Linked DNA regions of Struthio camelus. The protein of the gene in region 1 binds, or shares a complex with, the protein of each later gene. Links are inferred from orthologs where the notes say so. Each region holds a gene or a part of one and is shown on either strand. Other genes may lie near its edges.

Region 1 (7,752 bases):
GGGGATAAAGTAACTACTTGTGTTAGGGATTTTCCACTTCTGCCTCATACATTTTTTTTTCCTTTTTTAAAAACAAGCTAACTGGTTCTATAAAGGTCCTTCCAGAGACTGCAGGATTTCATAGCTAAATTCTAAATAAGAGTCAGGTTACCCTTCACTGGCAGTTGGAGAAGGATATGCAGTTGAAAATGAATTGCTTTGAAAGTCTGGAAAGTAATTGTTACAGCCAACTAGGTAAGATTGAGATGAATTGAGGAATAATCTTACCGTGCTAGCTGAAGTGAGTTAGAGAAGGAGTTTCTGGGTTATAACAACCTTTTAAAATTGATGTGTGGAATCTAATTCCACATACTTTGCATTTCTTTTGCTACATGTAAGCAAATCCTTTCTAAGGGAGGGGACATAGTGAAGGGAGAGAAAAAACAAAAACCTGTAACTAGGTTATAGGACTCTGATAACTGAATCATAATGTCCAGGACCAGATGGAGGCGATCATCCAAACTGAAGCAGTCTTGTGACTTTGATTCCATCTCTAGAGGATGACTGTTTCCTTCTGGGGTTAGAGGGCCGTGTGTGACCTTTATGCTGTGGAGATTTGTGAATGCAGAGTGGAGGCTTTGATTCCCCCTTGCTAAAACAAGGCTCTTTGGTCTGAGCGCTGGACTTATAAGCGTCTAGAAATGGCGCTCTTCCCTCTGGCGATGGGGTTGGGCATGCGAGCGGGTGGTCCAGCTGTTGCAGCAGCTGTAGGGTTCCCCTTGAAGCGCCAGGGGGTTGCAGTGCGGTGAAGGCCAGGAGATAGGGTGTCTTTCTTCCCCCCCCCCCCGTGTCTGTCCATGCTGCATTCCTGAAACGCTGCCTCCTGAGGATGCCTCCTGCCAAGGTACTGCTCTGTTCCTCAACTGCCTCGGAGAGCAAACTACCTCTGGGAGGTCTGAAAAAGCAAAACGCCTCACGTTTGCTGTCTGTCTCCTCTGCTGTGGGAGGCCAGAAGCTCTGCTCCTTTGGACGTGGCAATGAATTGCTGCTGGAGATGTCCTGGCCTTGCTGATTAGCCCATGAACTTGTTCTCTTGCAAGGGAAGTTGGCTAATATCCATAGCTGAGCTATCTGGAGCTAGGAGGTGAGTTGCTGTGAGGCCAGGCATAAGCAGCCTGCATGTTCCACCCCACAGCTGGCAGCTGCTTGTGAAGATGCCTAGCTTGAAACTCTCCTCCACATGCGGCTTGTTACAAGGAAGTGCTGTTGCGCTCTATGCAAGGAAGCTTTTCTAGGACTCGGCTGCTGCAAGTGCCGGATTTGGTGCTCAGAAGGAGGAGGTGGTGGGAAGGGGATTGAATTGAGTGCAGCTCCTGTCCAAAACCGGCTCAGGCTGGTTGCTATCAGCCTTGTTTGTTCAAGGCTTCCTCTGAGCAAAGGCTTATCATGGCCTTGTGCTGTCACCCGCACCATGAGTGTAATATTCATGTCTGAATTATGTAGGGTAGAATCTTGAGGCTGGTTGTAGATTAAACTGCTAAGGCAATCTCTCCTCTCTGTTTTGGATCTGCTGTTCTCTAAGACCTTCTCCTTGCTGCTCCATTGGATTCTCCGCTAAAAGGCAATGCTGACATCCTTATCCCAGAGCAGAAATTCTAGTGTGGCTTGTGCCACGAGAAAGGTACCGTCAAGGAGAGCTGATACAAGACTGGCACTATTACTTGAACCCAGCCTTCAGGATAAACTTCCTGGTGTTTGTCACTGCTTGGTTTGAGTGAAACTGGCCACCCTAGTGTATTTTGGGCAAAGGAAGAGACTTGGGCTGGCATTGAAAAAATACCCCTTGCAGTGTTGGAGATGTTTATCCAGACAGCCTGCTGCTTATGTTTGGGCCCTGCTTTCTCCACCTCCTCTTGCAAAAAAATTGGGGCTGTCCTGTGTATTATGCAGTAACCAAGGTTCCCTAGGGGAGACTTTAGTCAGCAGCACTCGGGTTGCTTGCTGTAAGACGAAGAGTAACTGAAGTGGTGAGCGAGACTGCAAGAACCAAAACTGTACTTGAAGATGGGCTGCCTGGAGGTCTGTGCCTGAAGTCTTCCTACAGATGAGATGGGGTGGCATCAAGGAGGGAGGAGAAGAGTGTTCCCTTGGTGTTAGTTGCTGACCAGCTCCTCAGTGATTTACTGAAACCAAATGCGGAGGAGGAGAGGGACTCTGCTGTGGGCTTTGCGTTATTGGCAATTAAGCTGTGTGGAGGCTTTACCAAACAGTTTAGTCTACAGCTGTGCAGAAATAATGCCCAGCTCTTGCTTGGCTCTGAGATCCAACAGCAGAAAGCCTGTCTGCAAGGAAGGGAGAACAGGGTGACCTGACTGTTGTACAAGGAAACGGGTATCTTGGTGTTCAGCAACAGCAAGGCGCTATCAGCAAGGCACCTTACTGTTAGTCATATCACTAACGCTGTCTTCCAAATTGTAACTGAGTGTCGTCTCTGGGAACTGAAACGGCAAATGAGGAGCTCTGTTGTGGTGGCATAGTGCCTTTCGTAGCACGGTTGCTTGCCAAGTTCTTTGCTGAATGAAACTTTGTGGGGCTGAGATCTGTCTGGGCTGCAGAAATACTCGAGAGCCCACCTGTGGCCGTTGCCAGATGGCTCTGGGTTTCTCCCTGTGCTCTGCAGAAGGGCTACCTTATACCTGGTGTTGGTAACCCAATAGCACAGTACTTAGGTTTTCAGGAGTTGAGCTTTTCCTTGGTAGGAGCAGCAGCAAGCAGATAACCTGGGCAAGAGAGAGGAATAAAACCACAGCTGCTGCATGAATTAATTTAGGAGAAAATGAGGAGCTGTAGTGAAGACCTAGATTTCAGCTGCACAAACTGCCATGAGCTGAGAGCTATTGAATATTACCTGATCTTGAATTCCACCTGGGCAAGATGCCCCACAGCAACTGCTGCCCTGGGTTGTGATGTTGCAAGTTAGGAATTCTTTGGCATGCCTGGTATTCTAAGCGGTCTGGGATCGGCTTCTCAGTGTTTGGCTCTGCAGTCCTGGTCCAGCCCCTGGCTCGCCTGGCAATGGGGGGCTCTGCTCTTGCGAACAGTGTGGCCTAAAGGAGAGTCTGTTCCTTCTGCTCTCTCCAAACCCTGAGCCAGAGGGAGGTCTGCGAGATGCTTCTGGAGGGCAGCTGCAGGAATTAACGTTCCTGGCTTGTCTGGATACTAAAAATCACAAGCTCAGAGGCAGTAACTTTACTGATGTTTTTCCTCTCCGTTTGCCCTCTCCTTCTGAGAGCTGGCTCTTCCCCTGCAGCCCATGTGGGCTTAAAGACCTTACTGAGTCTCTCTCGTTAGCACTCCCTTCTGCTCTGTAAGCATCGCCTTCCCTTTTCTTCCAGATTCCTGAATGCATTAACATGATCTTAAACTTCAAGAAGTTTTTCTAAGCCCAGGCATAGCTTGAAGTTTGCTTTTCTTTGAGCCCCCATCGGAAAGCTGTCCAGAAGCTTTTCTCTGGCCAGCACCAGTGTGCTGAACACGTTAGCTCCCCTCTTGCTGCTCTGCTACATGGTATGTCCTTCTTCTAGAATAGCACTTCCACAGCTCTGAGTCATTTTTTTGTGTACGAGTTCAAATGTCCATGGTCTCCTGCTTTGGCCGGATGCCCAAGTACAAGGAAAGAGTCACTTTGCCCTTATGAATCAAGTTTTGAGTTAATTATCTGTTTGCTTGGACAGAGCATGTCCTTGCATGTTGTGAAGATAAACTTCTAATCTGGATTGTGGTCAGAAGAGTTCAGAGCTTTGGCAAAGGAGCTGAAAGGGAGGGAGCGATGGGTGGCTCCTGAGGGGAAGGGCAGGGTCACGGGGCTACTATATGACTTGAGAGGGCCAGGCGTGAGTCTTTGCTTTATCGCAGACGATGGGTATGGCCACGGGCAAATCATTTGAACTCTGCCTTGGTTTCCCCCTGATGAATTGCAGCTAAAGTGTTGCCCTGCCTTGTGGGGCTGCTGTGAAAGTATGTCTGAACAAACGACATCACTGGTTGGGTCTGTGCAGGGAACTTGTTTGACTGTGAGAGTGCTTAGTCCTTCCAGGCTGGTGTGCGTGAGTAAAAAATGAGAAACAACCTGGAAGCGCTTTCTGAGGTGACAGTTGCCATTTTGAGATCTACTCTTCAGGAGTTTATCTTCATGTCTCTTATGATGTGGAAGAAATGGAGAATGGGAGGCAATAGTGAACCAATTAAATTAAAAGTGAACTATGCACGTATACCAGCAAGGGGTATTCAAGGGGACAGAGGTTAAACTAGGGAAGGGTGTGGAAGGGGTGTGGTGGGGGGTAGGAGGCAATAGTAAATCGGATATATTTGCAGTTTGTTGTTGTGACAGCCTAATGTGGGGATACTCACCATGCCGCAGTGTGGGGGGTGCACAATCCTCCTCCGCAGCTTATGACCACAGCAGTAAGTGTGGGGTGCTGTATCGCCTCATAGACTGGAGAAGGAAAGCCACTGATCTGTGTGAGGAGCGGCAGGAAGAATGGCCTCTGCCCCTTCTAACGCCCTGAGGAATTCATGATGGGTCAGGGCCCTCTAAAAGCTCCCTTTGAGTCCTGCTGAGTTTCGCCAGAGGTGCGGGTAGAAGGTGGATCGGGCTCCCTGGTTGGAAGGAGGGGCTGTTCAGATGGTGCGAGCTAGGCAGAGCAGAAATCACTTCTGATGGATCAGCATGGATGCAATGGGACGGGAGAAGCTTGGTGGGACAGTGCGACACCTCAGGGCATGGAAGGATCTCGCAGTATGTGGTGAAAGTCCTTCTTGAAAATACTGGGAGCTGTTGGGCTCACTTGTGCTCCTAGGATAAACTTACAGCGTAAAGGGTCTGGTCTGAAGGTCCCTTAGTGCTCTTTTGAACTTCTGTGACTTTTTGTGACTGCTAGCATTCACTTACTTTTCTTTGCAGGTTCTCTGACCGTCATGGGGGATGCTGGCATGCAACCAACTGTTTCTGCTCCAGAGAGCCCTGCCCAGCAAGACCCTCTCTTCAGCATGACTGACGTGTTTCTCATCTCACTTATCACTGGGCTTTTTACTTACTGGTTCTTCTTCCGCAAGAAAAAGGAAGAAATCCCTGAGCTCCCCAAAATCCAATCAGTGTAAGTAACAGCTTTGAAGCAATGTGGAATGAGGGTGACTTTCAGTCTTGCTCATCTGACCACAAAGTTGCTCTTGCTTTTCCTGTGCTATTCAGGCTTCCTAGAGTGCTGGTACTGGCTCATTCCTCCCTGGGGCTGGGATCACAGGCTCCTGGGAGGAGGAGAGCTGGTTTCCATCTCTGAGTATTTAGATGGTACTTCTATAACTGGCCTTTCACTCTGCATCTGTGCACAATGCAGCACTTAACTCGTTAGTAGTTTTCTTGCCTTGCCATTCGAGAAATTACTTTAACCCTTCCCAAGAGATGGATGACACTTGCAGGTGCTGGTGTGAATTTAAAGACTTCCTCCTGCCTGAGACTTTGTGCTGCTGGTGGGTCCTTGGAGGCTCCAGGAAGAGAATCAGCCATGTGGGAGGGAGCTGTGCAGGGCCTGGGACGTAGGGGTGGCTTAGCTGGATGGTGTTCCATGTGCCAGGGAAGGTCACTGTGAGGTCTTGCTGCAGGATAATCTAGGGAAATCATTAACAGACGTAGTTAGATGACTGCGTCCTGTGATGTGGCTTTACTGGTGCCATCCAGCCTCGATTCTGTGAAGATCAGTGGTATTGGTGCTGTGCTTGCTTACCGGGTGGGGGGACTTAGTCCCAAAGTGCATTTCTCCCCCGTCGTGTTTCTTTTGAACTGCTTGTTTACCTTGCAATGCAGAAATCCCTGTGGAAGAGCTGGGCTGCAGTTCTACCTTACCTCACGCCTTGACTCAAATTATTAATTTGCCTTCCCCAAACAAGGCAAGCAAAGGCTCTAAAAGCCCCTGACTGTACTTCAAAATGCTTAGGGATTGCTTTGGCTGGTAAAAGTCGTGTTTAATAAACCTGGACAAAGGTAGATTTGCTGTTAAGCAGATTTCCCGTCTAGGAATCTTATCTACACTTAGCTATGAAGAGAAGAAATAATGCTTCGGGAGCCAGAAAGCAATTCCTGGGCATGAGCAGCTCTTGTGAAACATGCTCGACTTTGCCAGGTCTCTGTAGCAGCAAGAGGTTGGATTTGGTGATGGGAGAGGTCCGTGTTTCTACCCTGTCTTCTGCCAAGCAATTGGAGCCAGGAATGAGCAGCGCTGGCAGAGATTTAGGTGTGCTCAGTTCCTTGTCTCAGGCCCATACCGAATTTCACATCAGTTTTCTGCTGTGCTTTTTAGGAGCGTTCCTTGTATTTCCTACTGTAGCAATGTGCCTTGCATTGTTAAGAACACTAAACTGAGGTTTGAATCCCCCTTAAGCTGGAGGGGGAGCTGGCTTTGCGCGTTCTCTCTCCTGCCAGTATGCTGGGATCTGTTCCCTGTGCAGATGAAACTTCCCTCAGATAGAAGGCCATCCTGGTGCCTGACTCACAGCTACTTCAGCCTTAGCCCAGCTCCTCACGCTCACAGTATTAGGCCTTTACAGTAGTAACTGCATCCAAGGTGAATCCTCTGTATTTGTAACACAGAGTGCAAATTTGCTGTAGATCCCTGCTTGTCCTGAAGGTATTGGTGGTTTGGCCATGAAGTGTAGAGGGGAAACAAAGGGGAGAACTGATGGCTGGCTCCTCCCAATGTGTTCACGATTTTACATTCTGTTGCACCTGCAAGGCATCCTGCATGAAGTGGCTTTCTCCATGTGGCAGAGCAGTACCCACTAAGAAATGTCAAGAAGTACTTCTGCTCAGCCCTTCATTTCAAAGTGTTTACTCAAGAATGCAAGGGTTACAGCCCGGTGTGGAAAGAAGCTGTGGCAGGAAATGTTCGTAGACTGGTCAGATGAGGATACTTGGTCACGGGCCAAGGTATTTCAGCATGGGATCAATGCTTCTGTTACCCTGTGTGTAAAAGCAAGTTAAATCAAACACAGCAAGTTGTTGTGGGTCTGTTACCTGTTCTCAGACTTGTGTATCTACCTTAGTGCGTTAGGCTGCTTTCAGTTATCTGGGCTCGTCCTCTGATGTTGTGTCATTAGGTCATAATTGAGAAGGAGCAGATTTGGTCTCATCTTCTTTCTTACTGATCGTAACTCTCTCCTCTGACAACGGGACAGAGCCCTCTGTTCGAAGGCAAGACTGGGATTCCAGGTCTGTTGTGAAATCCCTGGATAAGGGGAAGAGTAGCACGCAGCTCAGTGCAAACAGCCTGCCGTGAAGCAGGCTGTGCACACTGGTATCGCGGGAGGACAGAAAGTACATTTTCTGGCTGGGGGCTGTTTAAAAGGAAGAAATGTCCCTGGCTGCAGTATCCTGTGGCAGAATTCCTGTGTCCAAGCTGACAGTAGCCTCGCTGTCCATCTGTTCTTCTCTGCCTTATCTGGGGAATTTGATTTGTTGAGTCAATCAAATACTCCCCCTTTTGTGCCTGCTGCTCATGCTGTACAGTGATGAGAGGTGAAGTTGGCTGGAGAAATAGCAGAGAGATTGGGTCGCAACCCAAGGCAGAGGTTTTCTCGGAGAGGTTCTTGTGGCTGCCCCCACTCATTGCATACAGCTCTTCTGGAGACTGTTGTGACCTTGCAGAGAAGTCGTGTTGCAGAAGAGCTTTGCTAAGCGTCCTGGGTGTTTGTTACTGCCTTGTCTTGCTGCGGGACCTC
Region 2 (7,660 bases), on another chromosome or scaffold:
TCAGGACATGGGATCTCTTCCCTCCAATTGCTGCCATAGAAGTACTCCAAGTCTTTCTCCAAGGCAGCTTTCCGGTGCAGCTCCACCGGAAAATAAACAGGGGCATAAACTGGGTTGTCCTTATTACGTTCGATCTCTTCCTCCAGAGCAGAGTAGATGAAATACAGGGAGGCAGTAACCAGCTGAAACAGAAGGGAGGGTATGAGATACAGGTGCATCTGTCTGTCTTCCAGCTTTTGGGACAAATCCCACTAACAAAAAACGTTACTCATATGCACACCCAGTATGAATCATGCAAATATGTTATATTGTTGTAGATTTCACATATGGAAAGCAGAGTTGGAAGGGACAGTGAGACATCCTCTAGCCCTTCCCCTTCTGCTTGAGGCAGCATCAGCTGAGACCTAAGTTATTCTCAACAGATGTTGGTCTTACCTGTCCATAAAAGCTGCTGTCTTCACCTTCAAGTTAAGGTTCTGGCAGCTTGATATTATAGAAAATGGAGCCCTATTAAATCATACCTAGTCTATTCCCTTCATTCCCCCTAGTCAATAGAGAGATTATTCCCAAAGGTATATTTTCTGGTGTATTGTTCAAATCTGAATGCTTCAAGATGTGCCTTTCCTCTGTGGGGCCTTATGAGACAATGACACACCCTGTTTACTGTACAGCCTATTTATCCTGTTGGCAGTCTACCGTCCTGGGAATTGAGGCACCACTGCTCTCTTCATTCAGATTTGTAAGTAGGGTTGCCTCTTTGTTTCCCTGTGGTTGCCCCAAGGAGATAAGATACAAAGGGGACTGAAAGCACAGCTTGCCTCTGAAAGATGCCTTTGCGAAAGATCACTGCGAGGCTGTGTGTTCATTACTATTTTCAGACTGTTGTTATTGTTGTTTTTCCCAGCTTACACGATACTTTTTTTATATCTGCCAGCCTTTCCACATAGCATAAGACAATCTAGCTGTGTTCTTTCCTTTGCTGGACATTCTGCTCTTAAAAGCTATATACGTATTTATATGTACACCACCTCTTGCTTACACTGAAATCCCTCATCAGCAGCAAAGGGTAAAACGTGAAGGCCCTGCAGCACAGGTGAGTCAGGCTTGAGGGGGAAATTATACTGCTGATAGGAGCAAAAGTGGTTTATTCTCCCACAAAGCTATTAGTTCTAGCAGTAGAAGAGTTGCCATTTCAACTTTTCCCCACTATGTCAGCAAATAGGACTTTGATATGCAGACAGGCAGTGACTTGATTGCAGAAACAGATACTCAAATTTTATGGAGTCATGTTTCAGGGCAGATATATAGGTTTGCCAAGAGGTTAAACAAAAGGAGCTTTTAAACAATAACTTGTCATCTAGTTTACTGGAAAAGAAATAAAATACAGGAATATTGCCTAACAAATTAAAGGATTTAATCTGACTATTGCTATCAGAGATAGTAGTTTACTGAGAAAAGTAGCTTTTGAAAATCATCATCTTACTTTTTAAAATCCAGCATCACATCTCGTTCCTCCTGAAGCCTAAGAAACTTCTAAGAAACTAAGAATTTTCTAAGAAACTAAGCTGTATTCCAGGATCTTAGAGGCTTGACTTTTTAGGTTATCGCTAGCCTGTCTCAAAGTTCATTGCCTAACAAATGCCACATTTCTAACAGGAGGAGGTCAGCACCTGAGATTAACAGTATGCTTGACTGCGTGTCATGAATGTGAACTATCAGAAATAAGTACTCTTTTTCCCTACTCCTATGGATGTATTTATCAAGGAGCAATTCAAAAATAAAGTCATTAAGCCACAGCTCAGCTTACTAGCTGTTATTTGGAACCCCTGTGTCACATCCTCTAACCTCCCAGGAATTTCTAGCTCATATGCCTGCCTTGTTTTTACACATGGCTTTGTTACGTGGCTCAGGTCACATTAACTAGCCAGATTAGACACAGACTCCGTAACCGCAAATGATTCTGTTATATCTTAAGAAAAGCAACAGGCTCCTACATGAACAGACATGGCTTGCTCAAACTTACTCTGCCTCGAGTAATTGCTCCTGATCGCAGCTCTGGTATAACTCAAGTGATAACTACAACTCTGCAAGGTTCAGTGCCAAAAATGATCCCACATTTCTCATTATTCCATCATTATTTCTAGCTGTAACCGCCTAAAGCATTCTAAAGTATTCTCCTTTCTTGTTGCCATTTTAATCACTCATACACCTGCACATAGTTGTATCTCCATTAACTCTCATTGGCCATAATTAACATGCAGGCATTTATAAGGAAAGATAAAAGCAATTACAATCTCGTTGCCTTTTTATCCTGTTTCAGCTTGATTGCCTATCCAGAAAGATACAATCCTGCCTCACGTTCTGAAGGAGGAGCCTGTAAAGTCTTAAGAGTGCTAAAATTTGATTAAGAGCATGTTTTGCACAGGAGATGCTGATACTAGACTGCTGTGATGCAAAGGGCTTCCTTCACCCCTCAACCTTTAGTCCCCGCATAGCCTATCTGATCTACAAGTGTATTCCATGACAAGGAAATCCCATCCCCACCCAATACTACTGCAAGTACCTTAAATTCATGGAGTGACACCTGCCCCTTCTGGAAATTTTTCATGAAGAGTGTATTCTCTGCCTGCTCGTGCACCTCCTTGGTGGCTTCCTTCATGAGTTCTGACAGGTCCCGTGACATGCTGGGGAAAAGAAGCAAAAGAGATATTGGTGCTGTCACTTTCCTCCTGCAAAATGGATCTTAGCTCTCTAGCAAAAAGAGGGAAGCCTGGGAAGGCAGGGAAAGAAGCAGAGCACTCCCGAGAGCCACGGATGGGATCAAGGGAGCGCTAGTATCTCACACGCTGTCCAAGGGGAAGTAAAACTGTTAGGCTCCATCCAGAGGGGAAAGAAAGAGCATGCTGTTCCCTGCAGAGCAGAAACAGGAACAGTACACCTAAAAGCAAGGGGAAAAATATGATACTCTCTTGGCTGGAAATTTCCCTCTCATTCCAGTCCTGCTCTCACCTTTCAGAGCTGTGTGTCTGGGAAGTATCCATGTTTCTCCACTTCGTTTTCTCCTCTGTGTCCCTGTTGATTTTTCTTGCCCTTGCTTTCTTCCTTCCCTTCTGCTCCCAGGACACTGCGAAGCGTTTGAGCTGGGCAGCCTGGCTCCTGCATCGAGCTTTATACTGGCCAGGTCACGTGAGCAGCCCAACTGCTGACCTCAGTGTGAGTACAAACTTCTTGCAACACAACTGTGCTTCCCTTCCCAGCGTTGCTGTCACCCTTTCCTTGCCTGCTGCCCTGAGGGACCAGACTTGGACGGCAGAAGGAAGTCACCTGATTCCTCTTGACAACTAAGCACAAATAAGAGGATGTTGAACAACTTCTTTTTCAAGATTGCCTGGCTTGGTAACCCTTTCAGCACAGTGCCGATGGCAGGCAGAGCCCAGGTGCTACAAGCAGTGGTCACTGTGCTGGGGGCAGCGGTGTTGGGTAGAGGGGTGGATTTACTGGTTAGTGCCATGGTCAAATGTGATGGGGCAGGGTGGGCAACTCCTCTCCCCACAGCCTTTTCCCCCAATCTGTGTGCCAGCTGCACCCCACCTGGGGAGCTAATACAGCATCTGTCCTAGTCTCTGTCAAGACTCAGGTGTAAATGTTTAATTTCCTGTGGCCAGGAACATTGTCAGAGAGTCCCCTCAGGTAACCTAGTGCTTACTGGCCATGGGGTGGGGAGCTCTGCCCTACAGATTAGGAGCATGCCCGCTCCACAGTGAGGAGCACAGCAGGGACCCTGGGCTTTGTACCAGTTGTGAGTAATCTGGGTGCTGTGGCATAGGCACGCACCAGCTCCAGTCTGCAAGTGGCAGAACTACAGCTGCACAGAGCTGAACCCTGGTGAATAAATCCTTCCTCTTTGCGTGGAGCCATCACAGGTTTGCCTGCACCGATGCGCTGAGACATCCTCTGCTCCCTTATGAATGGAAACAAGAGCGGCTGCTTTGCATGGCAAACGGCCCCTGCTGTTGTCACAGCTGCGTGCAGGGCATTTTGGAAGGAGAGCGCCCCATCTCTTAGATACCCAGAAGACTACAGTAGCCGGTATGCACGAAGGACTGAAAAGATGTGATGTAGGATTTAGGGAAAACTCTGGGGAAGTCTGCAGAGACTTTCAAATGCAAATAATTCCTCTGATTTGGGAAAAGAGAATTGGATAAGCTGGTTCTGCCAGTAGCTGGCTCCTCCACTGTTTTGTCTGTTGAAGTGGTTAATGAGGCAGCCAATGGATGGTGGGGCCCTTGTTTTCCAACTGTGCTGGAAGCAGGGCTAGCCAGGGTTGAAGGTGCATCAGCCAGCTCTGCTTTGAGAAAGCACAAATTTTGTGTGCAACCCAAATACCAAGGCACTTAAAAACAGCATTCCCCTGCTAATGCAGAGGTGAGAAAGCGCTGCTGCAGTAACACAGCACTGTGTTACATGCATGAAGTGGTAGGGAGGCAAAGCAGGGGGAGGAGGGAGGAGAACTACAGTTATCTTTTGTCTGTATCTTTTGTCCTGGCGAGTCCAATCTGAGACTGTGCTGATGGGCGCTGCAGCCCAAGCTGCCTTGTCTCCCTGTCACTGCAGCTACCCCAACAGTAGCTTGCTGTGGTGCCATAGGTTAGAAAGCTGTCCTGGAGGAAATGTGCATCTACGCTTGTTTTTTTCACTCAGGCAGACATCTGGTTTGCAGTGTGGGGAGCTCAGGAAGGATTAGTCAGCAATTCCACCCTGACTCAGCCAGACTTTTCCTGTCTTATTCTTTCTTTAAAGCAACAGTACACGCTAGCAAAAGTGACAAGTTGCTTGCTTTCCCCGCTTCCCCCATGCCATTGCACACAACTTGTTACTGACTTGTTTGCTTTATCTGTATGGTAAAATAAATACATTGGGATGTCTGAATCTCTTCAGAAGGTGTGACAAAGCCCCAAACACCCTCTGACAGAGGGCTCTGCACAGGAGCCCCCAGGAGTGCAGGGCTGCATGGCCGTTCTGTCCTGCAGACATTGATGCCATCTTGCCACAGGGATGTCCTTGAAATGAGCATTTCTCTCTTGCATTGCTCTCTTAAAGCTCACAAGCAGTTTTCAGTTCTTTTCAGTGAGTCCTGATCTGACAGGGGAAGCTGGAGCACAAATTGAACTTGTAGTTTCAGTAGAGGGAGGTATACTTGGTCGAGATCAGAAAACCCCAAGCCCAAACCCTGCCCCTCCCTTCATGTCTGTTCAGCAGCTGTTAATGAGCCCAGTTCCTTTGCAAAGGTTTTCTAGTTGCTCTCAGATCTGTGCTTTTGTGCCCTGCCAGCCTTCCTTCTCCCGAGAGGTTGCATGCTTGGAGATGCTTTAAAAGATCTGTCCAAGACATCTTCCTCCTCCTTCCCTTTCATCCATGGTTGAGGTAGCCAAGATGTGGATGAGGCAAATGGACTGAGGAGGAGAGAGAGCTGTTTAGTCATATTACTGCTATTCCAGATAGGATACTTCTTCCTGGGAAACGTTCTGGTTTGTAACCACACTGTTCTGGAATCCAGGTTTTTGCTCTAGGTGCTCCCCAACATACCTCCCTGGTGGCTGTTGGGGCTTTACCTTCTCCAGGGCCAGTCATAAGAGATAATCTCCCTCCTGCACCTTACCTCTCCAGATGAATTTTTTCCACATGTGCAGGGGAACAAGCCGTGTCCCATAACTTAGTTATACCTTCTGATCTCTAGCTGATCAGGGTTACTTGATGGAAGGGCAGGGAGCAGCTGTTATAGACTGGGCCCAGCTCCCCAGAAAGGCCCAAGGGCTCAGCAGCCAAGATGGAAGAGGAACTGAAAATGTGCTGTCATCATCTTTGTAGTCACTGGCCTGGGGCATTTTTGGCCTTGTCCACTGCTCTGCAGCGAGGAATTGTATTGCTTCTGCTGTGCTGTTGCTATGTGGTGGAGGGAAGGTTAAGGACACAGAAAGTGGCAAAGTTCTGTCAGAGATTTGTGAGTGACCATCTCTTCCTAGAAGACGACATGGGAAGTTGACGTTTAAGAACGATGCACTGGAAAGGAGGAGCATATTTTTAGCAGAAAGAACAACTGGCCCCTAGAACAACTCAGTCAGGTGTACAGTGTGCCCCACTCAAAAGGCAGATGCCAGTCCAGATCCAGATCACTAGTAAATTTTGCTTGGACAGCATCAAGGTCTCAGATCTGTGGTCTCTCCACCTGCCTGCCAGAAATTCCGTAATACCGTTCTCCTGTTCTTTCACAAAGCAGCTGTTGGGTGGTGCCAGAGTTATTTAATGTGAAGGTGATGTGCATGGAAACAAGTGAAATTGCCCAGGAGACTTCTAGTAAACATGAATCAAGTAGCCCAAGACAAGATATTTGCAGCAGTCCCTGCTGGGCTTAGAAACCTCTGATTGCATATCCTGGCCACTGAGCCAAAGTTTAAGTCAAGAGATTCATTAGATGAGCAGTTAATAACATCGTAAAGTTAGTGGGGAGTCGTGATTTCATCGGGGTAGAGAAGTTTCAGAAATTTCTAGCTATATAGTCAGTCACAGAACATGAAATCAACTCCTCTGAACGTGTGTGGGAAGCACTCTCTCACATTTTGGGACTGGCACACAGCCGAGGCTTGGCTAAGAAGAGAAAACAACCTGGTAAAAACTAGTCTTTTCCGGCAAGAAAGGGTTAAAGGGGATCTGGCAGACCATGACACAGCAAAATGCAGCCTCATGGTTTTGAGGGAAAAAGCTGACTCAATACTCAGAACTTGCTGTGTAGCAAGAGTGGAAAAAAAAAAAAAGGGACGACGTGATATCTGCTTAAAATTGCTTTCTTAAGAAGGGAGTCACCACTAGGGCATACAGTGTTATGCTATGGTTAATTCATGTTTACCAAAGGAAGATTGCCCAGCCCAGTAGTACTGGCAGAACAAATTGTGCTTGTTCCTGTCAACATTTAACAATCTAAGTCTAGATCAAAGATATAGGTGGAAAAATGGAGATTGTGAGTACAATGCACTGAAAAATTCCATAGGGAATGAATGCACTGTATGATTCCTCTGAACTGGCATTGCTGGTATATTTGGCACTTCTGAAAGAGAAGAGTCCTACAGACAGCACTGCTATTCTGGGCAAGCCCAGCATACGGGAACCCCAAAGACAGATGCAGTGGAGACAAAGGTGCCAGTAAATTTCTCAGACATAAATGAACCATCTTGACAGAAACAGGAAGCACAGATTATAATACACATATTTTATACATTTATAAATATATGCTTACCACAGCGTGTAGGTGTCTCCAGAACATGACGATGGCTATGATGGGAGCTCTGGGCTTGCTGGGCAGGCTGAGAACAGAGCAGTGACGAGAAGGAAAAATAGAGCAAACACTCTGCCAGGTACGTGCTTGCTTTTTAACTGGAGACCCAAGGAGCAGGCAACTCCCTGAGCACAAACACAACCTGTAGCAGGTCTCCAGGGTATCAGTGCACTGTGCTGAAATGGTGGAGGAGAGCACCCAGTGCCCAGCAGAGCCTCAGTGCTGGTGATGACAGACTCCACTGCCTGCTTATGGCCTGTATGTTTCTGAGGTGCAGAGGGAGGGGTAGAAGAGAGCAAGCCTTAGCTAGAACTAGCAAATTAAAATCTC

What was found.
Region 2: the proteins of POR (region 1) and HMOX1 are in contact, whole or in part, in a crystal structure (PDB 3WKT), measured with the Rattus norvegicus proteins. The link is inferred for Struthio camelus from reciprocal best matches to the Homo sapiens genes POR and HMOX1. Residues at the interface, in NP_113764.1 of Rattus norvegicus: Thr88, Thr177, Asp208, Asp209, Arg313, Arg514, Lys515, Gln517, Arg519, Leu520, Phe522, Lys523, His626, Lys665, Met667, Thr668, Lys669, Gly670, Tyr672; in NP_036712.1 of Rattus norvegicus: Asp12, Ser14, Glu15, Gln38, Ala75, Pro76, Glu81, Lys149, Ile150, Lys153, Ser171, Asp173, Asn174, Thr176, Lys177, Phe178, Lys179, Gln180, Leu181, Arg183, Ala184, Arg185, Asn187, Thr188.

The regions. Positions count from the first base shown.
Region 1 is NC_090957.1:14,661,802-14,669,553, reverse strand, and holds the start of POR (NADPH--cytochrome P450 reductase), read left to right. Parts: upstream 1-4,507; 5' UTR 4,508-4,698; coding exon 4,699-4,777; intron 4,778-4,942; coding exon 4,943-5,135; intron 5,136-7,752. UniProt on the Homo sapiens protein: This enzyme is required for electron transfer from NADP to cytochrome P450 in microsomes. It can also provide electron transfer to heme oxygenase and cytochrome B5.
Region 2 is NC_090942.1:59,832,855-59,840,514, forward strand, and holds the start of HMOX1 (heme oxygenase 1), read right to left. Parts: upstream 3,243-7,660; 5' UTR 3,042-3,242; coding exon 3,010-3,041; intron 2,685-3,009; coding exon 2,564-2,684; intron 183-2,563; coding exon 1-182.